Sus scrofa: one gene and its partner. The protein of the gene in region 1 purifies or fractionates together with the protein of each later gene. This does not show direct contact. Links are inferred from orthologs where the notes say so. Each region holds a gene or a part of one and is shown in the gene's direction. Other genes may lie near its edges.

What was found.
Region 2: the proteins of S100A4 (region 1) and PPFIBP1 purify together in Homo sapiens (co-immunoprecipitation; 3 studies listed by BioGRID and IntAct, with this or other methods). This does not show direct contact. The link is inferred for Sus scrofa from reciprocal best matches to the Homo sapiens genes S100A4 and PPFIBP1.

Annotation. Positions count from the first base shown.
Region 1 is NC_010446.5:96,087,897-96,091,761, forward strand, and holds S100A4 (protein S100-A4), read left to right. Parts: upstream 1-1,345; coding exon 1,346-1,486; intron 1,487-2,972; coding exon 2,973-3,137; downstream 3,138-3,865. UniProt on the Homo sapiens protein: Calcium-binding protein that plays a role in various cellular processes including motility, angiogenesis, cell differentiation, apoptosis, and autophagy.
Region 2 is NC_010447.5:46,037,799-46,041,613, reverse strand, and holds part of PPFIBP1 (liprin-beta-1), read left to right. Parts: intron 1-3,506; coding exon 3,507-3,629; intron 3,630-3,815. UniProt on the Homo sapiens protein: May regulate the disassembly of focal adhesions. Did not bind receptor-like tyrosine phosphatases type 2A.

The DNA of each region.
Region 1 (3,865 bases):
CAGAGACCACCGGCACCCCAGGCCCCAGGCACTGACTGCCCCTTCCTCCAGCTCCCTAAAACTCAAGTGTCCACCCCACAGAGGCCCCTCCCTGTGCCCACTGGGGCTCTCCCATGGTCCCCCCGCCTCCCCGTGCCCGCCCTGGGCAGGAAGCTGGGTTTCCAGGCTGGGCTGGTGGAGGGGGCCGGCAGCGTTTACCGCATCTGACCACGATAGGAGGGAGGGCTGTCTCCTGCTCTCCCCCAGCCCCTGCATGGGCAGGGCCCCGCCAGGGTATAAATAGGTCAGGCTGCTGGGCTTCCCCACTCTTCCTCTCGCCCCAACCCTCTCTCCTCTGCGCTTCCTCTCTCTTGGCCTAGTGAGTTGTGGTCGGCCTGGTGAGTTGTGGTTGCCTGACTGGCACACGAGGGGGGGTCAGGCTGAGGCTCGGTGCAGGAGAAGCAGAGGCTGGTGGGCACCAGATGTGCTAAGTGGGTCGGGATATGAGATTCTGATGGGAAGGCTCTTGGGTGGTGTGTGTGTGTGTTTGTGCGTGCGTGTGTGTGCACGTGCATGTGCATGCCAGAGAGACGCAAAAATTAAAAGTAAGAGCGAGGAGCAGGTGGCTGATGGGAGCTGTCGCAGCGGTACTGGGATGCTGGGGCTTGCCTGTGTGGTGGCTGTAGTAGGTTTTGGGATGCTTGTGACCGGTGGGTGTGCACATTGGCTCATGTTTGCTGCGTTGCACAAGCCAGTGTATGCACACTCGGGCATGGGAAGCACAGTGAAGGCAGTAGGCGATGGCAGGCTTTTGTTTCCTTGTGTCCTGGGAGCTTCTGCCCTGCACACAGCAGCCCAGCTCAAGGGAGGGTGGCCTCCCCATCCCTCCCCTGCATCCGCGTGCGCCTCTGCCACCTCATCCTGCCCCTCCCTATGCAGTGCCGGGCCGCTGGTTTTTTCCGCTACAGGCCCCTGGGCAGATCTCCAGCAGTGTCGCCCAACCCAGCGCTGTGAGAGAGAGAATGGGCCAGGGTGGGGCTGCTGGGGGCTGAGCCTGGGAGTGAAGGGCCCGAGGGAGGAGGGGTGGAGAAAGGCTCTGGTTAAACGGACTGCCTGCAACCCGGAACCTGCCATCCTGGCCCGCAGGTGTTCACTGCCCCAAGCACGAACTTCCCAAGTGTGCACAGCCACCCCGCCAGGAGCCGAGCCCCACCTTTCAGGGCTCCCTCTTGGGTGGAAGCAGAGTCTCTCCAAGGGCTCCCTGAGGGATGGAGGTGGGGGCATTCTGAATACATAGCTGGGGGCAGGGTTGGGGGGGGGGATAAGGATGTCTCTGTGATCCTGCCCCCAGATCCTGACTGCTGCCATGGCCTACCCCCTGGAGAAGGCCCTCGATGTGATGGTGTCCACCTTCCACAAGTACTCAGGCAAGGAGGGTGACAAGTTCAAGCTCAACAAGTCTGAGCTAAAGGAGTTGCTGACCCGGGAGCTGCCCAGCTTCCTGGGGGTGAGTGATGCTGAGTGGGGCGGAGCGGGGTGGTCTTCAGGACTTCAGGAGCATCAGCAACCGGGGCCTCTCTGGCTGACATGGGCAAGTGGGGGCAGAGAGCTTGCTCTGGCTGCCTAGTGAGCACCCACTGCTCACTTCCTGGCCCCCAGCCGAAAGAGGCACAATGGACCTGGAGGGAAGCTGAAGCTCAGAGATACTAAGTCACTTCCCTAAGTAGTTCGTGTATAAAGCTGAGATCCATGAATCATGATGGTCTGACTCTTGCCATCAATCCAGCTATGAGCCATTTTTAAAAATAAACACTCTATCAAAGTTTCTTTCTTTCCCTCCCTTCCTTCTTTCCTTCCTTCCTTCCTTCCTTCCTTCTTTCTTTCTTTCCTTCTTCCCTTCTTTCTTTCTTCCCTTCTTTCTCTGACCGCACCTGCAGCATGCAGAAGTTCCTAGGCCAGGGATGGAACCTGCGCCACAGCTGTAACCAGAGCCACAGCAGTGACAAGGCTGGATCCTTAACCTGTTGAGCCATGAGGGAACTCTGCCACCTTCTTTTTAAAACTGATGTGTAGTTGATTTTCAACGCTGTGTTAGTTTCAGGTATACAGCAAAATAATTCAGTTGTACATACATGCATATTTTTTCAGATTCTTTTCCATTATAGGTTATGACAAGATATTGCATATAGTTCCCTGTGCTATAGAGTAAATCCCTGTTGCCTTTCCTGTTTCATATATAAAAGTATATATTTGTTAATGCCATACTCCTAATTTGACCCTCTCCCCTATAAACCATTTTTGAGTTTCTCTTTGGCTTGTGAATGTGAAGATACACACATACCTACAGACACACCCCAGCGTAATCACAGTTACCATCTGTATCAACCTTTGTACAATTTATGCATTGCTTTCATGACCACTGTCTAACTGGAGTCTTTTTTTTTTTTTTTTTTTTTTTTTTTTGGTCTTTTTGTCTTTTTGCCATTTCTTGGGCTGCTCCCACGGCATATGGAGGTTCCCAGGCTAGGGGTCGAATTGGAGCCATAGCCACCAGCCTACACCAGAGCCTCAGCAACGCGGGATCCAAGCCGTGTCTGAAACCTATACCACAGGTCACGGCAAAGCTGGATCCTTAACCCACTGAGCAAAGTCAGGGATCGAACCTGCACCCTCATGGTTCCTAGTCGGATTGGTTAACCACTGAGCCATGACGGGAACTCTTCTAACCAGATTCTTAAAATGACCTTGGCAGACGATGTTGTAGTCCCCTTTTCCAGGGGCTTCCAGGTACCCAGACTTCCTCATCTGAAGGGCAGATCTCCTCCACGCCCTCGCCTAGCCCTGAGGGCTGGAGGTTCAAAGCTCCCCCCGGACCCACAGCCTGCCTGTGCCTTCCTGAGGTCCCATCTGGAGCTAGTCTCAGCTCTGCTCCCCCTGCCCCCACCCTGCCCCTCCTGCTTCCAGTTTCTACCCGCAGCCTCTTCCCCCTGCAGAAAAGGACGGATGAAGCTGCTTTCCAGAAGCTGATGAGCAACCTGGACAGCAACAGGGACAACGAGGTGGACTTCCAGGAGTACTGCGTCTTCCTGTCCTGCATCGCCATGATGTGCAACGAGTTTTTTGAAGGCTTCCCTGATAAGCAGCCCCGGAAGAAGTGAGGGCTCCTCGGATGTGGGTGGGGGCCCTGCCAGCTGGGAGGGGGTCTTCCCTGACAGAAAGGGCACAGTGCCTCACCGTGGCTCTTCCTGACCTGATCAAGTTCAATAAAGATTCTGAAAGCTATAAGACTGATGGTCTGAGAGGGTGGGATGGGGCCTGAGGGATATGGGGGGTGTGTGGGTGGGAGGGGTACTGGCAGGTTTGCTGCTGTTTTGTGAAGAGTGGAGAGCAGACTGGTGAAGGTGGGAGAGGGATGCGTGACCGTGCATGGGTATGTGGGACAGACTTGACTCAGGATGGGGCTGAAGGCAGGGAAAGGGACCCCAGAGGCTTGGACCGCCCCAGCTGTAGGATCTCGGCCAGGGCACTCACCCATCCCATCTCCCCAACGTTGCCTCCAGCAGGACCGCAGACTGAAGCTGGGATGGGATGGAAGGTCACATCTGTTCTTGGTTGGGGTCTGGGAAGGAGTGTGGGCGCCCTGGGGATGGTGGGGGAAGGGCTGAGTCACGGGGAGGAAGTCGTGAGGCCAGAAGGGGGAGGGGGAGGAGGGCTCGGACCTGACATTGACAGCCCAGGCCCTGCCTAGCCACCCCTTCCAGCACCTTGGCTTCAAACCCCAGGGATGGATGAATCCTTCTTGTCCACATTCAGATGAGGGAGGTGATGCAGGGGGTGAGCAGGCTGTTGGCTGCAGCATGAGACGATCATCCTTCTCTGAGACCCG
Region 2 (3,815 bases), on another chromosome or scaffold:
CACTCTTTTCATCCCCAGTTTTTAGATGAGGAAACAAAAGAATTGAGAAACTGAGTAATTTAACCAAGTTTCCACTGTTGGAAAATAGTAGAATATCAAACAGCATTTGTACCTATTTGTCTGCCTATCTAGAGATGACTATGTTCCTGTGGGAATGTGAGCAAATTCAGACTGAAAATCACAAAAGACAAACGTATGACTTCCATGGCTATAAAAGAATAAATTACCAGAAATCCAAAATCAAAGAAAGTCTGTTTGAATCTGGTATCCTGGATTTGGATCCTGGATCAGAAAAAGGACCTAGTGGGAATATAAATTGGTGCATCTACTATGAAAAGCAATATAGAGGTTCCTCAAAAAACTAAATATGGAGCTGCCATATAATCCAGCAAGCCCATTCCTGGGCATATATCCAGATAAAACTTAAATTTGAAAAGACACATGCACCCGTATATTCATGGCAGCACTATTCAAAATAGCCAAGAATGGAAACAACCTAAATGCTACACACACACACACACACACACACACACACACACACACACACACACACAATTGTATATTACTCAGCCATAAAAAAAGAATGAAATAATGCCATTTGTAGCAACGTGGATGGACCTGGAGATTATCTTACTAGATGAAATAAGTCAGAAAGAGAACGACAAATACCGTATGTTGGCACTTCTATGTAGAATCTAAAATACAACACAAATTAACTTATTTATGAAACAGAGACAGACTCACAGACATAGAGAACAGACTTGTGGTTGTGAAGGGGGAAATGGGATAAGGGAGAGATGGATTAAGAGTTTAGGATTATCGGAGGCAAACTGTTGTATGTAGGATGGATAAACAACGAGATCCTAGATGGCTCAGGGAACTATATTCAATATCCTGTGATAAACCGTAATGGAAAAAAATATGAAAAAGTATATGTATATATAACCGAATCACTTTTCTGTATAGCAGAAATTGACACAACACTTTAAATCAACTATACTTTAATAAAAATGTTTAAAAATGGAGAAATTTTAAGTATTCTTTTTTTTTAAAGTAAAAAAAAAAAAAAGGACCTAGTGGAAAAACTGGTAAAATCTGAATAAAGTCTAAGGTTTAGTTGAATTTGATTTTGTCTGTATTAATGTCTTCGTTTGTTGAATATCCTGGTTATAGAAGATGTTGGCATTAGAGGAAGCTGGGTGAAGGGCCTGTGAGTCTCTGTACTCTCTTTGGCAGCTCCTGTATAAATCTAAAATTACTTAAAAGATTTTTAAAAACCTCCCCTGGAGTTCCCGTCGTGGCTCAGTGGTTAATGAATCTTACTAGGAACCATGAGGTTGAGGGTTCGATCCCTGGCCTTGCTCAGTGGGTTAAGGATCTGGCGTTGCCATGAGCTGTGGTATAGGTTGCAGACACGGCTCGGATCCCACGTTGCTGTGGCTCTGGCGTAGACCAGTGGCTACAGCTCCGATTAGACCCCTAGCCTGGGAACCTCCATATGCTGCAGAAGTGGCCCTAGAAGAGGCAAACAAACAAACAAAACCCTCCCCTAAAGTGTTTTGATTTAAAAGAAAATGACCCCTGCTTTTAAAACCCCTTAAACTAATTAATATCTTATTTACATTGTAAATACTTAAGCATTTCAAATTTTTTTTAATCTGAAAGACTTTTAATTAGTTGGTAATAGTGCACATGGAAATGTTTTGAATGTGCATCTCAATCTTAGATTAAAAATGTTAAATGTGGAGTTCCCATCATGGCACAGCGGAAACAAATCTGACTAGGAACCATGAGGTTGCAGGTTCGATCCCTGGCCTCGCTCGGTGGGTTAAGGATCCAGCATTGCCGTGAGCTGTGGTATAGGTCACAGACATGGCTCGGACCTGGTGTGGCTGTGGCATAGGCCAGGGGCTACAGCTCTGATTGGACCCCTAGCCTGGGAACCTCTATATGCCGCAGGTACAGCCCTAGAAAGACAAAAAGACAAAAAAAAAAAAAAAAAAAAAAAGTTAAATGCCTTTTCTAACTTATTATTACATTAAGAAATTAATCTAGAAAAGAATTTGGGAAATCATTTTTTAAGGCTCAGTTAGTAGCCTTAAGGATTTAAACTGTCCTATAATTTTATTTTAAAAATATTCCTATAGTAGATTAATTTTTCCCTTGCAGGAAATGTTATCGGTAAGGCGTGTCTGAAATGGATATTTTCCTTGTTTATTTTCTGGGTGTGTTTGCAAGCAGACTAGTGCTTTTCTTGACACTACCGCCCCCAAATCACTTTCTAAGATAATTTGTTTTGGTGTGTTTGGTATGTTTTTAAAAGTTCCCAATAGCCACAGACTTGGTGAAAGTTACTTCTTAAAGGAATCGCCTGGTGATCTGTGCTGCTACTTAACAACTTCTTTATTTCTCTTCTGTCCTTACCTCTCACCGAAAGCTTTGCATCGATTAATATAATTATTCCAAACCTCTTATCAATAAAACACTATAATCTAGAAGCAGAGATTTCTTGAGTCTGGGGGGTTAATATCACAGAAGCAATCTTCCACTTTTCCCCCAAACTGTGATGTGCCTGAGCTCAGAAAACCAACTCATCAGTGATCATCCCAGCTCTCAGTTATCTGCTTCATCAAATCAAATCAAAGCAGGTTACTTTCTGTGGTGACCCAGGGAGTGCTTTTTTTTCTTTTTTAATTTTTATTAGAATATAGTTGATTGTGTTGTGTCGATTTCTGCTGTGTAGCAAAGTGACACAATCATACATATATATATATACATTTTTCTTCTAATACTATCCTTCCAAAATGTTCTACCTCAAGAGAGTGAATATAATAGAACCTCATTGCTTATCCATTCTAAATGTAATAGTTTGAACTACCACCCACAAACTCCCCGTCCATCCCACTTTCTCCTCCCTCCCCCTTGACAACCAAGGAGTGCTTTTCTTTCTTTCTTTCTTTCTTTCTTTCTTTCTTTCTTTCTTTCTTTCTTTCTTTCTTTCTTTCTTTCTTTCTTCCTTCCTTCCTTCCTTCCTTCCTTCCTTCCTTCCTTCCTTCCTTTCTTTCTTTGGCTGCACCCACAGCATGGGGAATTTCCCAGGCCAGGGATTGAACCTGTGCCACACCAGCAATCCGAGCCACAGCAGTGACAGCGCTCAGTCCTTAACTCCCTGAGTCACCAGGGAACTCCTGGGAGTGCTTTCCAAACTGTGCTTTTCAAAGCTGTTCAGTCCCATGATCCTATCTCAGTAGACGAGAGAAACAGGTAGAAATTAGCTTCAGTTGGAACAACATGAATTTTGGTTTTCATTTATGTTGGGGTCCTGGAGAAAATTTTGTTCAGAACAGGAAAAAGGGTTCTGTTCCTAAAGAAAAGCTTTGAAAATGCTGACAAGCCCTTGGGGGCCTATCAGTGGAGGGGCTCTTCTACTTTACCTTGAGTTTTCTGAGATGTCCCTAAGAAGGTTCTCCTGCTCAGAGAACTCCTCATTTTGTTTTGTTTTGTAGGATGACTTACTGTCTCTGAAAGTTGTAAGTGTGCTCCATCATCTCAGCATCAAAAGGGCCATCCAGGTCCTGAGGATCAATAACTTTGAACCAAACTGTCTACGGAGGCGGCCGTCTGATGAGGTAGCATCTGAGGTCAAGGTTTACACAGCATGCACTTACCATGCACATGCCTGTCCATGTATGGAGGCAAAGACCTGTTTCCTCTTGGAACCTGGGGAAGTAAAGCATCTGGTTCTCTCAGAGCCTCAAATCCTGCCTCGTTGACTTCTTTGGCTTTGTTTTCCTCTGTGCCTTCCTTTTCCCCAC